Linked DNA regions of Diceros bicornis minor. The protein of the gene in region 2 purifies or fractionates together with the protein of the main gene of each other region. This does not show direct contact. Links are inferred from orthologs where the notes say so. Each region holds a gene or a part of one and is shown on either strand. Other genes may lie near its edges.

The links.
Region 1: the proteins of NUP133 (region 2) and NUP160 purify together in Homo sapiens (co-immunoprecipitation; 4 studies listed by BioGRID and IntAct, with this or other methods). This does not show direct contact. The link is inferred for Diceros bicornis minor from reciprocal best matches to the Homo sapiens genes NUP133 and NUP160.
Region 3: the proteins of NUP133 (region 2) and NUP98 purify together in Homo sapiens (affinity purification with mass spectrometry; 6 studies listed by BioGRID and IntAct, with this or other methods). This does not show direct contact. The link is inferred for Diceros bicornis minor from reciprocal best matches to the Homo sapiens genes NUP133 and NUP98.

The regions. Positions count from the first base shown.
Region 1 is NC_080770.1:22,680,452-22,687,325, reverse strand, and holds the start of NUP160 (nuclear pore complex protein Nup160), read right to left. Parts: upstream 3,001-6,874; 5' UTR 2,986-3,000; coding exon 2,886-2,985; intron 2,623-2,885; coding exon 2,511-2,622; intron 1-2,510. UniProt on the Homo sapiens protein: Functions as a component of the nuclear pore complex (NPC). Involved in poly(A)+ RNA transport.
Region 2 is NC_080745.1:26,426,629-26,434,330, reverse strand, and holds the start of NUP133 (nuclear pore complex protein Nup133), read left to right. Parts: upstream 1-4,699; 5' UTR 4,700-4,774; coding exon 4,775-4,956; intron 4,957-6,970; coding exon 6,971-7,089; intron 7,090-7,702. UniProt on the Homo sapiens protein: Involved in poly(A)+ RNA transport. Involved in nephrogenesis.
Region 3 is NC_080746.1:58,890,382-58,898,255, reverse strand, and holds the start of NUP98 (nuclear pore complex protein Nup98-Nup96), read left to right. Parts: upstream 1-4,874; 5' UTR 4,875-4,996; intron 4,997-5,187; exon of another isoform or gene 5,188-5,433; intron 5,434-6,033; exon of another isoform or gene 6,034-6,121; intron 6,122-7,874. UniProt on the Homo sapiens protein: Plays a role in the nuclear pore complex (NPC) assembly and/or maintenance. NUP98 and NUP96 are involved in the bidirectional transport across the NPC. May anchor NUP153 and TPR to the NPC.

The DNA of each region.
Region 1 (6,874 bases), on a different chromosome or scaffold from region 2:
CCATGCTGGTCTAAGCTGCCATCTTCTCTTGCCTGGACTGTGGCACCAACCTCCTAATCAGTCTCCCTGCTCCCACTCTTTTCCCACTACACTCTGTTCTCAACCCACAGCCACACCAATCCGTTAAAAACATAACTTAGAGGGCCCAGCCTTGTAGCTGAGTTGTTAAAGTTCCACACGCTCCACTTCGGTGGCCGGGTTTGGATCCTGGGCATGGACCTACTCCACTCACCAGCCCTGCTGTGGCGGCGTCCCACATAAAAAATAGAGGAAGACTGGCACAGGTGTTAGATCAGGGCTAATCTTCGGCAACAGATCTTAGCTCAGAGCAAATCTTCCTCAGCAAAAAAACAAAAAACAAAACAAAAATACCCCACAACTTAGATCATGTCATTTCTCCAATTAAAACCTTCCTATCTCACTCAGAGTAAAAGTCAAAGCCTAAAATAACTGACAAAGCCTTGATCTGGCCCTGGGTTACCTTTCTTATTATCCTATCCTTTCTTCACTCAGCTGCAGACTCCTGGCCCCTTGCCATTCTTTGAACACAACAAACAAGTTGCTGTCTCAGAGTTCTTTGCACTGTTGGTTCCTTTTTCTTGAAAGTTTCTACCTGAAATTCTTGTCCCCCAAATATCTTTACTTCCTCTGCTCAAATGTCAACTTATCCCTGGGTATTGCCCGACTAACCTATATAAAATATTAACACCCATAGGTGTTCCCCTCCCCTCTTATCTTGCTTCCCCGTTCTCTATTCCACTTATCATCTGACAAACTATATTTACATGGTTTCTTTGGTTATTGTTTAGTGCGTCTCCCTCCATGAAAGCAGGGACTTTGTCAGCTTTGTCCCTCCCCTATACCAGTCCCTAAACATTAACTAGAATTCATTAGGCACTCAAAAATATTTCTTAAATAAATGAGATCTGTATCTCTAACACAGGCCTTTCTTCTGAGCTTCAGTCCTGCAAATTTCAACACCTACTTGACATTGCCAAAGGGCTGCTACATAGATACTTCAAATGTAGTACATCTAAAAGCATTATTCACATCTCTCTAAACTCGTCTTCTGCATCTCAGTAAATGGCAACTGCTCCACCCAATATCTGACTGGCCACATGAGACACCAGGGAGTTGCCCTTGCTCCCTCCTTTTCCCTTACCATCCCCCACCCCATATTCAATCTATCACCAAGTCCTAGTGAATCTACTTTCTAAACGCATCTTAAATTCATCTATTTTTCTTTTCCTAACCACTCTTACAATTGGGTCACCAGCGTCTCTTACTTGGGCCATCATAAAAGCAAACTGTTCTTTTGTATTATACCCATTCAACCCAAATCCACTTTCCACAAAGCAGACTGATTTTTTAAAAAATACAACGTTGATCATGTTAGTAACCCTTTAAAACCCTTCAATGAGTGCTCAATGTACTTAGGATAAAATCCAAAATCCTTAAAAAGGACCTGAGGGTCCTTCATGATCTGAGTCCTGCCTACCTCCCCAGTCTCAGCATCTTTCACATCACTTTCCCTTTCACCCACTGCACTCAAGCCACACAGACCTTCAGTCAATTCCTCAAACCTGCCAAGCTCTTTCTACCTCACCGACTTTGCATATGGTGATCCCACTTGCTGAACTGCTCTCTCTCCCAACCGCCTGCCTGGCTACCCTTCCATCCTTCAGATCTCAGGTTAAATGTGACTTTCTTAAAGGCTTTCCCAGCCCTACCAATAAAATTTAGTCCTCCTATTAGCCTCTCATAGTCCCTATACTTTTCCTTTGAAGTAAGCATGAAAAGTTTGTATTTGTGTACCTATATTGTGATCATCAGTCTTTTTCTTTTTAAAACTGCCCCACAGGGCTGGCCCCAAGGCTTAGCGGTTAAGCGCGTGCACTCCGCTGCTGGCGGCCCAGGTTCGGATTCCGGGCGCGCACCGACGCACCCCTTCTCCGGCCATGCTGAGGCCATGTCCCACATACAGCAACTAGAGGGATGTGCAGCTATGACATACAACTATCTACTGGGGCTTTGGGGGGAAAAATAAAATAAATAAGTAAAATTATAACAAAAAAAAATACTGCCCCATAAAGGGTGGGTCCACATCTATCATTACACTGCTACAACATCTTGCACGATGAAAATGGTGGTTGTTTTTGTTCATCACTTCATCCCTAGTACACCTAGCAATGCCTGATGTATAAAAGCTCAAACATATTTGTAGAGTGAAGAAAGCCATAACGCACTATAAAAACATAATGGGTCCATGTACAAAACTGGTCTTTGAGGCTTTATCCTCTAAGCTACATTTCCTCTGCTTCTACTGCTGCCTGGGAGGGTATCTCTCCTAGAATTGTGTGTCTCCTTAATTTTCTCCTGATTCAGATATGAATAGAAAACAGTTTTTCTCTTTTCCTATCGATTACCGTTTCGGAGAATGACACTTGGGGAACAGCCACGGAAATTCAAACGCCGAACCACCCTAGGGGTTTGGCGAACACAGTACTTACCAATGGATGAACCTGTTTCTGGTGACGGAGAACAACTTGCCACTTTCCACATAGTAGAAGCCTCCCGCACTCTCACTGTATTTGACTGCTCCGGCCAAGGCATTTGCAGTCCCTGCAAAAGGAGAGTGGTCAGCCACACACGTGGTTCTCGGGGGATGACAGGGACTGATGGCGCTGAGAAAGCAGAGGGTAACAGATTGACAATTCCTACAAAAAGAAAGGGAAGAAAACAAGGAAGACACTAAGGGAGCTCTGCACCCGGAGCTACAGGCATGTGGATTCAGGAAGATGAACTAGGGGGTCAGAGATTTGGGGACCCATGAGGGGAACCCGAGGGAAAGGACAGGATCGCGCCCTCCTTGGCTGCTTCCGTACCAACGCCGCAGACTGTGAATTCTCGAAAGTGCCTCGGCCTTTCGCGCTCAGCTCCGCTGAGCTCCACGAAGCTCCGTTCTATGGCTCCCGCCGCCGCCATCTTCCCGCCGCCGCCGCGAGGCCCGACGGGACACTGGCAGGCCGGGCGGCTGTCGTCACTTCCGGGGGCGGGGCGGGGAGACGCGCACAGGTGGCGAGGCCGGGGGAGCAGAGGGGCGGGGTCGACCCGTCGTTTGGAGGCTTCAATGGAGTTGGCGGGGGTATGAGGGTGGGCAGCGAGGAAGCCAGCTGAGAAAGGGGCGGGGAGCCGGCCCTCCCTCCGGGGACCTTCGCGTGGCCGGGTGGGACGCCTCCGGGGGGCGGTGCCCTCTTCCCGGCCGCCTCAGGCAGGGGGCGGGGCCGGGCTTGTTTCCAGTTTGAAAACGCCGCGCGGGCGGGGGGCTGAGCCTCCCGGGAGGGGCGAGGGCCGGCGAGGCCGGGCACATGGGCGCCCCCTGCCGGATTCCGAGCTTGCGGTCACCTCTCCCTGCGTCGTGGTGTCGGCCTGCGAATCTCTCCTTTTCTTCACCCTTCAGCGACACGTGGGATGGGGGGGAATGAAGAGGAGAGGGGCCTTCCGTGTTGGAATTCTTGTATAATGAATTCTATATGCTCGTATAATAAAACGTGATGTGTGCAATTAAACATGGATGCCGCAACCTGTTGAGATTCCCTAAATGCTGTTCCTTTGCATACCTGAAAGGAATTTGCCTTTGTTCCACCTGTGATCTGGATGTTTGGAAGATACTGCAGCTTTACCCATGTCTAGAGCAGAGTAAAGCTCAATATTGAGGAAAATGCTAATTTTCAGGGGGAAAGGTTTTTTTTTCCCCCTTGATGGTCAACGTTTGTTAAGCACGTCTGTTATTACTTCTTATTCATTACCAATGACCGAAATCCTTCCTTATCATTCTGTGTTTCATTCAACCTATTCTGACCACTCTCCCATATCTTTCCACCTCACTCTTTCTAGGACACCACCTCTAGCAAGGGAATCCCTCCATTCCAATCCATTGTTTCTACCACCTTTTCACTGTCCCTCACTTCCTTGATGTTTCCTTCTTGCTCTGCTTATATTCCATTTAAATTTAGTCTCTTGCCTAGCTGTCTATCTGCATTCTCCAGTAAAAAAACACGACTTTGATTAACTCCAAATTGGCAGCTGAACAGGCCTGGAGAGACATATACAGCTACACTGACACACTCCCTCTGCCTCCATCATGATTCTAAACCTTGGGGGGGCTCATACTGCTGCCCAGCAGACATTGTAGCATTGTGTTTGCCTTGTCTGTATACCTTCCTAGATGAGTATTTCGCAACTCATCCAACACCTCCCTCTGAGACGGAACCAAGTGGGCTCGCCTCCTGGTGAGTTAAATAAGACTGCACCAGTGGAAGTTGTCTCCCAAAGTAAAGCGTGATTTGCAGCAAGTAGGAGGCCATAAGGAATCATTTCCAAAGTCATGGCTTCTCCGAACCAAGGAAGACAGGAACTTTTATTTGGTTGGGGAATGAATATTCAAAAGGGGGAGCTGGGTATTCGCTTGCACAGGCTCAGTTGGAGAACATGCTTCCACATAATGAGGCCTAAGCTCCTCCTGGAGAGATCTTTGCATTAAAAATAAGGCTTGGTCAGTTTCAGGATGGCTGCTGGTTACGTCTCCTTAACACACAAAAGGAAAAGAAACAACTTGGAAAAACAGTTAATTGCTTCCAAACCCACCTTTGAGTTTCTGGAGGCCCAGAGCCGGTGACACTTCCTCATCTTCACTCAGCCTGCTTCTTCAGTTAGAAAATTAATGCAATCCAAAGAGAATTTCCTCTACCACCACCCCTCCCTCCTTCCCAGCATCTTTTTTTTGTGTGTGAGGAGGATTAGCCCTGAGCTGACATGTGTTGCCCATCCTCCTCTTTTTGCTGAGGAAGATTGGCCCTGGGCTAACATCTGTGCCCATCTTCCTCTACTTTATATGTGGGATGCCTGCTACAGCTTGGCTTGATGAGTGGTGTGTAGGTCCGCGCCCGAGATCTGAACGCGTGAACCCAGGCCTTGGAAGCAGAGCACAGGCAGCTTTAACCACTCGGCCATGGGACCAGCCCCCTATGGTCGGTATTTTAAGTCACTAAGTTTTTGGGTAGTTTGTTAGGCAGCAATAGATATCAGGAACTTTTTGTTACTGCACCAGGTCCATTTTTGCCAGCCACCCAGAAAGCCAATCACCGAGACAACGAGATTGCAGAGAGAGAGGATTTAATCACAAGGCAGCCAAGTGAGAAAAACGGGAGAACAAGTCTCAAATCCGCTTCCCCAAAAATAGGGGCTCAGGGGTATTTATGGGGTAGGGGGCAATGTGGTCTGAAATGATTGGAGGTGAGGAGAGATGAGGTCATTGATGATCTGCGCAAGTGTAGTCAGGCTTCATGTTTCTTCGTAGGACACATGGTCACAGAATGGCGGCATTAACATGCCCTGAGGGTGGAGTTCCAACCTCTTGCCATCAAAAGGGCCCAGTTGATGGGTTGGTGGTCTCAGTCTGGCCTGAAGTGGACAAAGGGCTCAGTTCCTGAAAAAAAATAGCTCAAACACCCATTACCATGGTAATCCAGGCTCCAGGGAGATGTCATCTATAGGAACCTAGTGGGAGTCAGATAGCATATTGCCCAAACAGCACAGTTAACAATGAATAAGTTTATCATGCAGATTTAAGTCCTCTCCTTCCATTCTGATAAGTTTCTAGGTAAGGCCATCCCCCCTTCTTCCTGGTGCAGGGAAGAAGATACCTTTACAAATGGAGACTTTCTTTACCAATGTAAATGTCTCTCATAAAGGGTTACTAGAACTAAGGATGGGTTTATCACGACCCACCCAGGTACCCAGAGATGTCTATAGTAATGGCCTTTTCTGTGGGCAGGCCTCCCATCCCAAACTCCTTTGCTCAGTTAGTGGGGGTGGGGGTCAAATGTCATTCGGGCAGAGACATATTTTGAGTTGGCAAATTCCAATCCCCCATAGTTACTAGCTGTTTAATCATCAATGGCTGTTTGCCTGTTTCATTTTCCTCCTACAGTCTTCCACATTTCCTTCTCAGATCATTGAAACAACTCCCTATTGATCTTAATCTGTTCTTGCTCTGCCTGCCTCTTCGTTTTACAAATACACTGTGAGATAACAGTTCCTATTCATCGCTTATATTGTTGTGTTTCTTCTTGGAATGCTGTAACAAAATACTAAAGGCTGAGTGGCTTCAACAACTAACATTTCCTTCTCACGGTTTTGGAGGCTAGGAAGTCCAAGATCAAGGCACCAGCAGATTCAGTGAGGGCCTGCTTCCTGGGTTATAGCCAGCCACCTTCTTGCTGTGTCCTCAAATTGTGGAAAGGGCAAGGGAGCTCTCTGGGGTCTCTTATTAGGACACTAATACTATTCATGAGGGCTCCGCCTTTATCACCTAATCACCTCGGTGATATTGTGATTTATAATGAGAATATTATATTTGGTCTTTATCCCTGTTCCTGGCGCAGAGCTCCTAAAACCCTTGGAATTCCCTAAACATGAGAGAGCTAAAGATGTCTTTTGTTACGTTAATGAGGTAACTTTTGGAAAGTCCCTAGGTAACCTAAGGAGGTGGCTGGTTGCCAGGGGAACCAACCACGTGATTAGAGGGCTGGAACTTTAAGGGAGGGAAGAGGGGCTGGAGATTGAATTAAGTCACCAATGGCCAATGATTTAATCAATCATACCTATGCAATGAAGCCTCCATAAAAGCCCAGAGGGGGGAAGTTCAGAGAGCTTCCAGGTTGGTGAACTAGGATGCATCGGTGTGCCAGGCCCTAAACTCCACAGGGACAGAAGCTCCTGCATTCAAGACCCCACTCTGTGTATCTCTTCATTTGTCTGTTCATTCGATTCCTTTGATATTCTTTTGTGTGTGTGTGTGTGACGAAGATCG
Region 2 (7,702 bases):
GGAATTCTAACAGTTCTACCCCATCTGCAGGAAATAATTCTGGCTACTTTCCTGTTGTCAGTTGCAGTGATTAGTCCCACATAAATCAAAGTCTGGTCTTAATTGAAAGGGCTGTATTTTAGGAAGCTTGTACAGAAGGAGGCATCTACGAGCTGAGTATCTCACACATGTACACATGTCTATACTTGTGAGGTATTTTTCTTTTTATTTTAATAAAACAAAAATGGGCTTATATGGGACATACTATTTGTTAACCAACCTGCTTTTTTTATTTGATAGAGTATTTTCCTATACCTTTAAGTATTCATTAGACACATCCACATGTATTCTTTTTAATCATATAACATTCTATAATGTTAATATACTATAAATCTATCATTGGACATATATCTTGCTTTCCATATTCTTTGCTATTATAAACAATACTACCTATATATCTTTATGATTTCTTTGATTTTTTTCAGATAACTTCTGAAAGTGAAATTGCCAAGTTAAAGAGCATATACAAATTATAAAACTTTTTAACAGACTGTCCTCTTAAAAGACTGTACTAATTTGTAATCCCACCAGAAGTGTATACAATAATGCCTATTTCCCCACAGCCTTTTCAACGTGAGCTATTTTCATTTTTTAAAACATTCCTGCTAATTCAACAGGCAAACAATGCTGACGGGTGGTTTAATTTGAATTTCTTTAATTGCTAGTGAAGTTGAAGATCTTTTCATGTATTTTTGGTCATTTCTAGTCTTTGATTTAGTGCTAGTTCATGCCCTTCATACATTTCCATTTTTTCTACTGGGGTAGCTTGCTTTCTCTTACTGATTTTCTTTGAAGAGTACTATTTCATTAGAAATATTTTTTTCTTCAGCTTGTTTGCCTTTCTGCTGTGGTTGTGTTTTCTGACATCCACAAATGTAGTCATATCTATATTATCTAATTCTCACAACAAGTGGGTACTAGTAGTAATTTAACAGAGGCTCAAAAAGGTGATTTGAAGCAAGTCCCATTTAATTCCAGAATCTATACACTCAATTAATATGCCAGTGGTTATGGCAATGTCCCCAGACAGCAGCGTCAGCAACACCTGGGAAATGCAAATGTTAGAAATGCAAATTCTCAAGCCTCAGCCCAGACCAACCAAGTCAGACACTCTGAGGATGGGGCTCCGCAATCTGGCTTACCCCAACCCCTCCAGGTGTTGCTGATGCATGCTTAAGTTTGAGAGCCCCTGCACTACACTATCCTGTCTTCTAGATTTCTAGTGTAAGTATCTACACTTACACTAAAATAAGGTAAAAAGATAAATAAGGACATGGCAGGCACTAGGAAAAGGTAGCACTCTGGGGAGTGGTAAAGAAGCACTCATGCTGCCCCAAGGTGTATGTCCTGAATATCTTCTGTTCCACTCACCAACTTCTCCACTGTATACTCCAGGAGGCCGCCCTCCATGGACTGTGCTAGTGTCCTCCTCCCTCACACTCTGGCCTCCAGAGGTGGCTGGAGGCCAAGAGAAGAGTGAGGTCATGATACTTACATCCCCAGTCTCCTTCCTCCTGGGATGCCATGGGTTGGCTGCATCTCCCAACCCAAGGCCATGGCTCTGGCAGGTGGCCTTTTTTCTCAGGTTCTGGTGACACCTTCCTTGGCTCATTTGTTGTTAGGAGCCTCAGGGCTCTACACTACCCCTAATATTCCTGTATTAAACTCTCTTTACTCAGCTTGAGGGTGCTGTTTCCTCTAGGATCTTGTTTTATAGAGCCTACAAGGCCCTTCGTGGCCCCTCTTTCCCCAATTTCCTCTACTGTTAGTCATTTGAGGTTGGTTTGCTTGTTTAAAGTCCCTGGAATGCACCAAGATCTTGGCTGCTTCAGGACCTTTGCCTGAGGATCCTCTGCTTAAAATACTCTTCCTCCTATTCTTTGCCTGGATGACTGCTGCTCGTGCTTCATGTTTCAGTTTAAATGTCCTTTTCTCCCAGAGGCCTTCGTAGATTTTCCTCCAAAATTAAGCACCCCCAGTTAGTCTCTATCATATACCCTGCTCTTTTCTTTCACACTGCACATCTCAATTTGTGGTTATATACTTATTTGTGTTCATTTGTTCAGTATCTGTCTTTCTCATTGGTCTGTGATCTCCATGAGGGTAGGGCCCATGTCTACTTCAAGAGGGAAGATGGCCAACTCATGTCCAAAAGAACAATCTCAAGGGGGCAGAAGAGCTTATAGCAGTTATATAGGCTGGTGGGTTACAGTGGGGGGTGGGGGTGGGGTAGGAATGTTGAGCCTCTGGTGTTACAGACTGGGAGTCGCCACACCAGATCTTTCAGTTTTCATTGATGATGGCTATCAGCATAGACTCCCTGTTCGGGGGTCATCACATTCCTAAGGAACTCAAAAGAACAAAGTTATCATCTTATCGCAGCTGGGAGGTACATGCATAATCAGGGGTCATAAAATCTACAGAGCAGTTAGATCTCCTGGAGGGTGCAGATCCAGCTGGGTTAGTTAGTCAGAGGTCATTCAAAGTTACAATAGGGTTTCTTTTCTACAATATGGCTTCCCTCATGTCAACCTTGTCTTGAGCTGGTATCAGCAGGTACTCGATAAATCCATAATGAATGAATGACTCATAGTGCTATCTACTCACCATTCTTCAATAGTCATTCCAGCTCCTGCAAACAGCAGCTTTTATAACTGCATGGTGGGCAAACCACTAGCCAGTCCAACAAAGCCCAAGAACAAATCTATCCCACCAATACCCTCTCAGCCATGACTACGCTCCATTTCTCATCTTACCCCTCCCCCTCCTCCACCAAGTAAGAATGAAACAAGGAGGAAATGCGCTACGTTGTAAGAGCTATAAGACTCAAAGACAAGCTGCAAAGTTGGCTTATAAACCTGGGTGGGAGAAGGAGAAAAGCAGCTTGTCTGTAGAACCGTGGTGAGATGACTGCCCTGATGCTATTCATGTGCACAAATGGCTTCCCCGGGGAAATGTCAACAACTGACACCCACATTGTGGTCTCCCACATATGGATATGCCAGTGTTTACTTAGCCATCCCCTTATTTCAAAAAACATTTAATGGAAGGCTAATGTACCTGTTATGGTGTGCACAAAGGTAACAGCCACTGTGCCTGCTGTTAAGACATTTAAAAGGAGCTATGTGAGAAACGGTTATGAAACAACTATTATGCAGAGTAAAAATATTATAAATAGCTCACACACCGGAGCACAGGGGACAAAGGATAAGGGATACATAATTTTGTGGAAGGCTTCACTTAGAAGGCAGCACTGAAGTAAGACTTGATGCATGAGGTAGAAGCTTGTTAGGCAACAGGGGAGAGAGGGTGTTCCAGGAGAAAGAAACACGTGGAAAGGCATTGGAGGAGGTTACGAGTTTTTTTATTCTTGGAATGTGGAGTGCAAGTGGGAAGTGGTGGAAGTAGAGTAAGGACAGAAAAGCCAGTCAGAGTTAAGTCGCAAAGGACCTTGCAAAGGAGCTTAGTAAATTACCTATGGACAATGGTCAGCCACGAGAGCATTTAGGAGCCCAAGAGCAGCTTTGGGTTTGCCTTAGTTCATTCTGTTGGCAGTGTGGAGGACTGCGTAAAGTGACTAGACAGAGGCAAGGAGACCCAAAAAAGAGACTAAACACTAAAAAAGAGGGAAAAGTTGAGTACCTGAACCAGGGCAGAGGCAGTGCCAATGTGAGCTCTACTGGAGGTTCCCCAGGAGCTACAACGTCCCAGGGTGCTGCAGTGGAGGTAAGTGTGAGCAATGACTAGGATAGAACTCTTCTTTTTGCCTTGGGCAATTGGCCAGTTTTACCAAATGGGACAGAGGTGGTAGTAGGATAGGAATCCTAAAGGGAAACATGAATTCAGCTTGTGTGTGCGTGTGTGTGAGGAAGATTAGCCTTGAGTAACACCTCCGCCAATCTTCCTCTATTTTGTATGTGGGATGTCTCCACAGCATGGCTGATGAGTGGCATAAGTCCGTCACCAGGATCCAAACCCGCGAACCTGGCCGCCAAGGCTGAGCGCATGGAATTTTAACCGCTCCGCGACGGGGTCGCTCCGAATTCAGCTTTTAACAGGTGCATTGCGAGGAGTCTGCAGGACACCCGGGTGAAGGTGTCCACGAGGAACTGTTAGGAGCCTGCGGGTTTGGAGCGACATCTGGGTTAGAGATGTGGACTTGCGGTCACTAGCGTGGATGAGACCGCAGAGTTGAACGGAAAAAATGACAAATCTAGAGAACAAATATAACATTGACTGTGAAACCAGTGTCAGCTTCACAGTTTTTCTCCCTTCTTAGATTGGACCAAGGAACGAACACTTTTCATTTCCCAGACGCTCAGGAGAGACCAGCGCGCAGAGACGCTTCGCGTTTAAGCTGTCAGAGGGCCAGCCCCACCCACTGGCGTCGGGAAGGGCGCCTAGCCCTCCAGTTCTACTTCCACGGAGCTCCGGACTCCGCTGCTCCGGGCCGGAAGCCCGGACACCTGCCTCACACTCTCCGGGGACGACCCCTTCGACCACGCCACGACCCCTTCGACCAGGCCCCGCGTCTCGGCGCTGAGCTTTTACGCCATCATCGTGCGCCCTCCCACCCTAACCCCGCCCCGCCCCGACCACGCCCCGCGGCTCGACGCTGCGCTTTGACGTCTTCACCGCGCGCCCTCCCGCCCCTGGGTGTTCAAGCTGGGCGCGCGGGCAGCGCTTCGGCCCAGCGGCTGGAATCCGCGCGCTCCCTATCGCCTCTCCTTCCATCATGTTCCCGGCCGTCTCCTCTCCGCGGACCCCGGGGCCCGGGGCCCGAAGAGGCCCGCTGGGCGGAGTCGGGCCGGGCTCCACGCCCCGGGCTACAGGCAGGAAGGGTCTGGCCTTGGGATCTGCAGTCAGCTCCCCGGTGCTCTTCTCGCCGGTCGGCCGGCGGAGCTCGCTGAGCTCTCGGTAAGTGATCGTCCCCGGTTGGGTCTGGCGACTGACAGGCTCACGGGCCTCGGTGGGCCTGATGGGGTAGTGTCTCCGGAAGCCTCCGGGACCTGGGGCGGCGGGGGGGAATGCCCAAGTATTGGAAAATAGACCTTCGCCACGCTTGCGAGTCATTTTAGCCTCACTTTGACTAATTCATCAGTTGAGTCTTCGCTTTGCACTTTTCATGGAATTACCTTTATGTAGAGGTGAAGAACTGGATTTGAATCAGTAGTTACCTGCCTCCTTCTTACTACCCCTGTGATCTGGTGTAAGTCACTCATGATGCTCTTCATCTGTGAAATGGCGAAAGTATCTGACCTGAGCCTGCTTGACTAAGGCCAAAAGAGTCAATATGAAATGCCACTACGCAGATGTAAAGTGATGGTGAGAATAAGGTGATGGTGGGAATGAGGACCTCCGGCCCTGAAAATCGTTGTCTATATGTCTGACATACTAACTGCCATTCATATCTGCTGATTGGTAATTCTATAGGGCTTTTAGCTACGGAAGTTAACTTTGTAGCTAAATTAATAGGGAAAAGGCTTTCCATAAACAGTGAGGTAAGAATAGTTTTGTTACCAAACAAAAGCGTGGCTCACCAGCCCACATCACCTGTAGAATCATGCTCCACACCCTCCCTTTCATAATTAATCTAGAACTGTAGAAGGTAATCGTTTCAGAGTAGTTTCCTCTGAATTCATCTATCAAAAATGAATTTCCTCCCGCGGAAAAATGGTGATATTGGATCTTGAATTTACAGTTAAAATTTATAAAATTTTGGAATTGTTTAAAGGAGAAATGATTTTTAAAGAATACACTGTATCCTTGACTTTTGCATTTTGAAAAGTGCTCTTCAAAGTGTTGATTTTGTCGATATCTTTTGCTCTTTTGAGAAAAGACAGAATAAAGGTCATACTTTATTTAATGTGTTTTTTTAAGTCTCTTTTTACCTTCTGGTGATCATTTATTCTTATAATAGGACATAAAGCTCTCCACCACTCTATGTGCATCTCATCATTTAATCTTCATGATAAGAGAGAGAATAACTTTTATACTGGTAACTTTACATTGCTTGTCTGAATGTTAAGATGAAGGGAAGAAGGAAATAAAATTTCTACTGCTTTATCTGCTATTAAAGACCAGGTAACAGCAGATGTTCATGACTCTGTTTAATTTCTGGCTTAATTGCACAGATCTGGTAGATTCTTATAATTGTAGAGCTGATGAGAGCTTAAAAATAACCTAACCCGGGGCCAGCCTGTGGCTTAGTGGTTAAGTGCGCGCGCTCCGCTACTGGCGACCCGGGTTCGGATCCCAGGCACGCACCTACGCACCGCTTCTCCGGCCATTCTGAGGCCGCGTCCCACATACAGCAACTAGAAGGATGTGCAACTATGACATACAACTATCCACTGGGGCTTTGGGGAAAAAAAGGAGGAGGATTGGCAATAGATGTTAGCTCAGAGCCGGTCTTCCTCAGCAAAAAGAGGAGGATTAGCATGGATGTTAGCTCAGGGCTGATCTTCCTCATAAAAAAAATAAATAAATAAAAACATAACCTAACCCAATGTTTGTAAAACATTTTTGACCACAGTGTATGATGAACTTTATTTTATATTGTATTTTGTTTTTCAAAAATGTTGATCGAGACCCTTAAAATGACCTGCAGTTTGAAAAACACTGATCTAGTCCAACCTTCGTATTTCAAAGCTAAGGAAGCAGGATTATAAAGAGTTTAAGTTAACAGCATGCATCTCTAAACTACAGCATAAGAGTCGGAGGCCAAGTTTTCCTAAATCCTGTTAGTCTTTTTTTTAATGAAAAGTACAGTTAATTACACAGTATACAGGAGCCAGAGTTTTTTTCACTGTTACAACTCATCTTTCTTCTTATCAAAGATAGTCTCTTTATTGTGAAAATATATGTATAAAAATTAGAATAATGGAAAATTTTAACTTATGGGTGAAGTAATACGGTCTCTTTTCTTTAGAGGAACACCTACACGAATATTCCCACACCACTCTGTAACCGAGTGTGTAAACTATGATGTAAAAACGTTTGGATCTTCACTTCCTGTTAAAATCATGGAAGCCCTAACATTGGCTGAAGGTGGGTGTCATATTTCATTTGCTTCTATTAGCAATTCAAAATAAAGCCTAGGTCTAGCATGGAGATTGAATTTTGTGCTTTCTCTGGCATATCTTCACCTAAATGGGGAGAAAGGTAACCTATTTGGTTTTTCACTGTAATTGAGAAATTTAATAAATTTGAGAAGCAGAAGGAGTTCATTCTAGCACAAATTAAATCTTTAGTGGTTGTTAAGTACTGCTTATGCAAAACTCAGTCCAATTTAAAAAGTTAATTGAGTATATGAAATTTAGCTTTTAAAAAAACCCAAAAAACTAGTGCCTCACGTTATTGGGTTTAATAATGCAGTAAAATCAAGTCTTAGCTCCATTTCTGGATCCTGTGTAGTATCCCAGAGACTGTATGCACAAATTCATGATGTTATCAATGTGGTGTACCTTTAGAAGATTCTGTTGGCAGAGAATTAGAGTGGAAATTTGGAAGATGTAGTCAACACAAGCTTCAGAAAAGCGACATTAAGGATGAGGAGTTGGGTGACTGTGACAGCAAAGTTCAGAGCATCCTCGTGATCTGCCTAAATCATTTTTATTAAGGATTCAATTCTAGATCTTTGTGATTTTCTGGAACTGTGTTT
Region 3 (7,874 bases), on a different chromosome or scaffold from region 2:
AGGATGTGCAGAAATTGGAACCCTCATATATAGCTGGTGGGAAAGTAAAATGGTAGAGTCACTTCGGAAAATAGTCTGGTAGCGCCTCAAAAAGTTAAACATAGAGTTACCATATGACCCTGCAAATCCACTCCTAGGCATAAACACACGAGAATTGAAAACATGTCCACAAAAAAACTTGCACATGAATGAATGTTCGTAGCAGCATTATCCAGAGTGGCCACAAGGCGAAAACAACTCAAATGTCATTCAACTCAGGAATGTATAAACAAATATGGTATATCCATAAAATGGAATATTATTCTACCAGAAAAAGGAATGAAGTACTGATGCATGCTGCAACATGGATGAACCTTGAAAACATTATGCTGGGCCAGTCCCGTGGCTTAGCGGTTAAATGTGCGCGCTCTGCTGCTGGCGGCCCGGGTTTGGATCCCGGGCACGCACCGATGCACCACTTCTCCGGCCATGCTGAGGCCGCGCCCCACATACAGCAACTAGAAGGATGTGCAGCTATGATATACAACTATCTACTGGGGCTTTGGGGGAAAATAAATAAATAAATAAAATCTTAAAAAAAAAAAAGAAAACATTATGCTAAGTGAAAGAAGTCAGACACAAAGGTCACATATTATATGATTCCATTTATATGAAATATATGAAATGTCCAGAATAAGCAAATCCATTGAGAGAGAAAGTAGATTAGTAATTGCCAGGGGCTGGGGAAAGGGGGAGATGGAGAATGACTGCTAATGGGTCTTGGGTTATGAAAATGTTCTGGAATTAGACAGTGGTGATGGTTGCACAACATTGTGATTATACTAAAAACCTCCGAATTGTATATTTTCTTTTCTTTCTTTCTTTTTTTTTTGCTGAGGAAGATTCGCCCTGAGCTAACATCTGTTACCAATCTTCCTCTTTTTGTATGTGAGCCGCTGCCATGGCATGGTCACTGACAAGTGGTGTAGGTCCACGCGCGGGAACCGAACCCAGGCTGCCGAAGCAGAGCACACTGAACTTAAGTTCGAACTTAAGGGCCACCACGGCTGGCCCTGAATTGTATATTTTAAATAGGTCAATGTTATATTATGTGAATTATATCTCAATTTTAAAAAAATCTGGCAAAGAGCTGGGCCTCAATAAATGGCAGTTATTATTACAAAAAAGATGATAAAGGAGAGAAATAGAAACTGAACAAATAGGACACATAGAAAGTATAAAATGTTAGATAAAATCCTGAATATATCAGTAAATTCATTAAATGCAATGGACTAAATGCTCTAATAAAAAGTCAAAGGTATTCACACAAGATTTACAAAAATCTAATTGTATGCTATTTATAAACATCACCTTCCCTTATCAAGTTATACAAAAAGAGGAAGGAAATCAATATTTACTGAGTGCTTACCATGTGCCAAACATGTGCCCAGTCCTTTGCAAATTCCATTATCTTCTTTGACCTTCACAACTACTTTACAAAATAGGAATTATTATTTTGTGTGTGTGTGTGAGGAAGATCAGCCCTGAGCTAACATCTGATGCCAATCCTCCTCTTTTTTTTTTGCTGAGGAAGATTGGCTTTGGGCTAACATCTGTGCCCATCTTCCTCTGGGATGCCGCCACAGCATGGCTTAACAAGCGGCACATCAGTGCACACCCGGGATCCGAACCTGCGAACCCTGGGCCACCAAAGCAGAGCGTGTACACCTAACTGCTGTGCCACCGGGCCAGCCCCCAAAATAGGAATTATTGTGCCCATTTTATAGACAAGGAAACTGGGGCACAGAACAACTAAATATAATTTGTGCAAGGTCTAAAAGGTAAGCAGAATGAGGACTTGAACTCAGCTCTCTTTGACTCCAACTCTGCTGCTCTTTCCAATGCACCATATAAGAAATCTAGCACCATCAATCTGGAAGGAAGTCTCTTGACCTTCTATGATTCTGCAGTCCTTACAGGTCTCTCTCCTCCCTGAGCACTAATCCTTCATAACTGCATAGAGTGAGTTCTCAGGGCATATGGTGAGAGACTGAGGGCTCCCAGGACAGAGATGGACTTTACTTAGCTCTGTCTCTCTTGGCCAGGGCAGAGCACTGAGCTGTGGACATCTCTGGGCTCCTGATGCCCAGGACAGAGTTTGGCTCAGCAAGTGTTTGTGAACACGCACCAAACTCCTTGTCTTTAGAGGGGAAGAAGGAAGATGATGATAACCAAAAGGAGTATTATGAGAATCAGGCAGATTAAGAGTATGTGGGCCCAGGAAGCCCTGGCCCGCACAGAAGTCCTTCCTGGGGCAGAAGTCCCTGGGAATGATGAGCTTGTGGGCCACATGCTTACCAGAGTACCTAACAAGAGGTCCTTCTACTTAGAAATCACCATGGTCACAGGAAATTCCTCGCTGGAGCACTCCTTGTCTAATGTCTCCCCCTCCAGTCTTCTAACAAGTATGCACTATTTAAGCATCCCAGCTCCTGCACACCCACTAGTACTTTGGACTGAATGTACTCACTTCCTCACTCAAGACATGTTTCTGAGCCCCTTTTCTGTGTCAGAATCCATGTCTCACAATATTTAGCAAGGGAATTCCTTGACATTTTTAAAGAATACAAATCATATCTATTATTTATTGAGGGCTTACTGGGTACCACGTACCATGCTAAGTGCTTGATCTCATTTAAGTCTCACAACAACTCTGTGATGCAAGTATAGTTGTTATCCCCATTTTACAGACAAGGAAACTAAGGTTCCGAAGTAGTAAGCAATTTTCCCAAGTTCATACAGCTAATACATGTTTGGGCTCAGATTTAAACCCAAGGTTCTCTGACTCAAAAGTCCCACACATCTATTATTATTCTACTTAAGAAATTAATTCACTCATTCATGTGTCAAACATTTAACGTGCACCTATACTGTGTGCCTGGCCTTAGAAGCACCAGAATAAATAGACGAGAGGTTTAAACATAATTGGGTTTGAGGATTGGAAGGTGAGAAATCAAAAGTTCAGGAGGGCAGTGAGGAAGCTACTGTAACTCTCCAGAGAGACTAATGACTTTCTGATGCAGAGCACAAACAAAGGAGGGTGGAGGGAAAAGAGAGATGTTTAGTTGGAGGAGTTGGGGGAAGGTGTCTGGAGTCATATATTTAAACTAGCTTTACTACTTGACTATTCATGTATTTATTTCTTTCTTCCTTCAAGCATCTACTGAGCATCTACAATGTACCAGGTTTCTCCTATCCATTATCTTATTTATTTATTTATTTTTTGTGAGGAAGATCAGCCCTGAGCTAACATCCATGCTAATCCTCTTTTTTGCTGAGGAAGACCGGCTCTGAGCTAACATCTATTGCCAATCTTTCTCCTTTTCTCCCCCCTAAAGCCCCAGTAGATAGTTGTATGTCATAGTTGCACATCCTTCTAGTTGCTGTATGTGGGACACGGCCTCAGCATGGCGGGAGAAGCGGTGCGTTGGTGCGCCCCCGGGATCCCAACCCGGGCCGCCAGTAGCGGAGCGCCTGCACTTAACTGCTAAGCCACAGCCCGGCCCCATTATCTTATTTTATCTTTAAGACCATTCCACTTTTTGACAAACTATCTCTAATCCATTGCCACCCCGGAAAACTTGGAAGGATTTAAGTTCACCTACGTTTTGGGCAGAGCCCATTTCAATTTTGTATTGATGTCCCAGGAGGAGGTGGTAGCGGTGGAGCGGTAATCCGAATAGGCTTTGCTTTCTGAGCACACTCCCTGCTATTCTGTGTGGGACCCTCAGTCACTAGGTCTAGTTTCCAGAACACGCTCGACCTTCTCCCCTTGTAATATTCCGCTTCTGCTCTGAGCTAGGCCCCAGAGGAAAGGAACACCAAGATGTAGAAAATGCAGCTCTGACCTTCAAGATCCCGGGCACAGAAGACAGGAAAGTAAATAATAGGATACAAAGTAACAAGGCTGTAACAGAGGCCTGCCCAAGCATTAGCCCAACAAGCTGGGAGAGATCGGCAAATGCATCCCAGCCAGGAAGGGAACATTTGAACCAGGCCTTTAAGAATAAGCAGGAGTTCCTAAAGTGCAGGTAGGAAAGAAAATCCAAGAATCCTCATTTGTACCAAGCCCTATGCTGAGCCATTCCCTAGGGCATCGCTAAGGCTCTTAACGTCTATTCCAGGCATTCAGAGAGGGAAAGGTTGTGCTGGGGCTGCTATGGGTCAGGAGACAAGGAGGCCAGGGGTTAAAGCCTCGGAGCAGCTGCAGACAAACTACTCGGACAGACGGACCTCCCAGGAGGGCCCTCCAGCTTCGCAGGCGGTGTGGCCAGGAAGTGCTGGCGGGAGGATGGGGAAGCCTTCCCATCACCGCCTGCGGACTGGGGCCAGGAAAGAGTAGAATAGTTACCAGGCCATCCTGGAGCCTTTCCTCTGATTGGCCCCAGCTTCAGCAGCCCGTGTCTCTCAGGTCCAGGGAAGGGGGCGGAGCCTCGGCATAGCGTCACCATTCTTCTCCCACACCCAGGCCGGTGCACCCCAACGTAGCCACTCACTAACCCACTTCGAAGGGCCCTGTGTGACGCCACGACTCCCTCCCAGCCAACCGCGGCGGCGAGGGGCGGGACTCCATGCCTCCCACCGCCCCTCCCCTTTCCTCCCCTAACTCCTGGGGTCCCTCCTCTTCCTCCTCTCCCCTTCTCCCGAAGACCGGCCCCACGTTCGCTTTCAAAAGACTCGTTGCCCAATGAGTGACAGGGCGGGCCTAGAGTGGCGGCGGCGTCTGCCAATGCGCAGACAGCGGGGGCGGAGCGCCCGGAGCGAGCCTCTGACGGCGGGCGGCGTGTGACGCAGTCGGGCCCTCTGCGCGCTGCGCCCGAAGCGGCGGTCGCTGTCGGTGGCGGCGGAGGCGGCGACTGCGACGGTTTCGTGGCGGCCGCGCGCTGCTGTCTGAGCGGCGGGTGGCGGACGGGCCTAGGCCCTCACTCCTGAGCTTCCCATCCCGCGCCGCACCGCGGTAAGTCGGGAGCCCGGGCGGTGGCGGCCGGGGACCGGCAGGCTCCTCCTCCCCTCAGGGCGGGCGGGTGCGCGGGGCGTCCCAGGCCCTCTCCGCGCGGAAGTCTCGCGCCCGGCGCGCACCTTCTGCCCTGAGGGAGGGGGCGGGCCCTGCGACTCGGCGGCCCCGAGGCCCGGCTCTTCGGTCGCTGGGAGGGAATGGGTTATCTGTGGGGTCTGGGCCCGGGAGTCTCCTGGTGCAGCCTGCGCTGAGGGAGCGTCCCTCTCTGTGGTTGTACTCATTCATTTGTCCGGCAGTGATTAGGTGGGCCGGCCCTGTGAGGGGCAGCGCCTGACGACCCTGAATACGGGCCCCCCGGCACTTCTTGACGGTCGTGCGGGATGGCCTTTATTGGCGTTGGTCTCTCCACAGGGGAAATTTGCAGCCCGAGGGTTAGGGTAAGTGGGCCGGGAGTTTGTTAGCTTTTTAAAACAGTATCTGAGAATTAAGGTCGGTTTAGTGGAGTAAAAGGTTATCTGCTGTTCTGCCACGTGTTCCATGTAAAGCTAGATGGGGTTTCTGGATTACTATAGCCATGAGGACTTTAGGAGTGAAGCCGATCCGCCTACCCTACATCACGTGCAAGTTTTATAGATGGAGAAACCGAGGCCTAGAGAAGGGACAAGATTAGCCAATGCCAGATCTGACTCAGTCTAGACGGTTTTCTACTACACCACTCTCCCTAAGTGTTCCAGCCTTCCCTTACTGAGGATTCCCTTTGGGGAGTTGGGTGGGGCAGCGGGGGCATTTGGTAGTTAGAAGCAGACGTAGCTTCTTCAGTAGCGTTTGAGATTTAGTTGCTACCAGCTCTATTCATGGTAAGACGGAAGCTTCATTAGTGGTACTCTAACCTAGAGCATGAGGTTAGGTTTAGGTACTTTTAGGTTTAATGTTGGTTAAAGAATTATCGGTGATGTTATATATTAGAAACGAGTCGATAAGACTACATGTCATGGGCTAGTTTGCTGTTCCAAATCTGAAATTTTTATTTGTGTCAGCTGCTGGGGACTCAGAAGAGACAGTCCAGTTCCTGACGCACAACAGTACTGAAGTAGAAAGCGGGAAGTATAGACAAGACACATAAAGGTAGGCAGCAGTTTTGTAGTTATTGTACCTTGGAACTCATGGCTCCTCTCTGGTACAGAATTCTAAGTATTGTAGTAGAATAAGGTGAGAAAATTAAACTCCATTTTGGAAGAAGAAACTAACTGGAAGAAAGAAAGAGCAGTGATCATTCCCTGTGACAGTTACATAAATTCAGAGAGAAACTTTTGTTAGCTGAGTAACAGAGGGTATGTTTACTTAGTGGCAGAAGTTAGGATATTTAAAAAATAAAACTGGAATTTGGACAGGATGGAGGTACTGGGGAATACTTTGATAGAATTATTTTTTGACTCTTCATTAAGGTTTGGTGAAATTGAATTAGTTGCCACTTTGGTGCGTTCACATCAGTCAGATCGTTGCTTTGGTCTGTTTAGATGAAAAGCAAAAACTGAAAAACAGTAGTGTATAAGAACAGAAGAGAACTGGAGTCTAAATACTAAGAGGTGAACAGGGTATATTTACTGTGACATTTTCTCAGTTCAAGCATCACCCTCTTCTGGGAAGCCTTTCCTGGCATTCTCTCCCCTGCAAGCTTCCATAACACTTATTTGATACATCTATTTATAGTACAAATCATTTTGTATTTTAGCTGTTTGTCTTTTTATTAGACTGTGGTAAAATATTTTTGTCTTATCTTTGTATTCAGGTTACTTGGCACATGGTAGGCTCTCAGTAAGTGTGTTTGCGTGAACGAATAAACAAATATGGAGAAGTTAAACCTAAAAATAGTCAATAAAGAATCTGGGTATTTGTGTGCTCTTGAATATGGGGCCCAGATAGAGGACCCATACCGTTTGTATATTATGTGGTACTTTGGTACATGACTTTTTTCAAGCTGTGAATTTGGTTTCCTAAAAGTTCTGCTTGCTCTTAGATATCTAGATGCTAGTGGACATGAATAAAGTCAGTTATGTTATTTTATTGTGATATTACTTTTATGCTGGCAATAAACGTAGGAAGTAAGGAGTAGTAGTTCTGATATTTAATTTCCAATAAAGAGCACATTCGTAATTATGCAATTTGTTGGGCCGGCCCTGTGGCTTCGCAGTTAAGTGCACGTGCTCCACTACTGGCGGCCGGGGTTTGGATCCTGGGCGCACACCGACGCACCGCTTCTCCGGCCATGCTGAGGCCGCGTCCCACATACAGCAACTAGAAGGATGTGCAACTATGACGTACAACTATCTACTGGGGCTTTGGGGAAAAAAAAAAGGAGGAGGATTGGCAATAGATGTTAGCTCAGAGCCGGTCTTCCTCAGCAAAAAGAGGAGGATTGGCTTGGATGTTAGCTCAGGGCTGATCTTCCTCACAAAAAATAAATAAATAAATAAATTATGCAATTTGTTGAAAGGTTAGAGGACTAAGAAATTTAGAGATTTAACAGTAGGTATTAGAGGCAAGGTGTATAAACAGTGTTTCTTGAGAATTTGGTGTATTCTTTGCGTTTGGAATTGAACCTGAGTATTTGGTACAGTATGTCTCTAGAGTAGGGTCTCTCAGCCTCAGCACTAGTGACATTTTGGGCCAGATAATTCTTTATTGTAGGGGAGTTGTCTTCTGTATTGTAGGATGTATAGCAGTATTCCTGGCCTCTCCCTGGATTTAGATACCGTAGCCACCCCTCCGCCCCCCAAGTTGTAACAATCAAGAATGTCTCCAGACATTATCAGATGTCCCCTGGGAGGCAAAATTCCCCGTGATTGAGACCACTGCTGTAGAGGAAACACTCCCACTA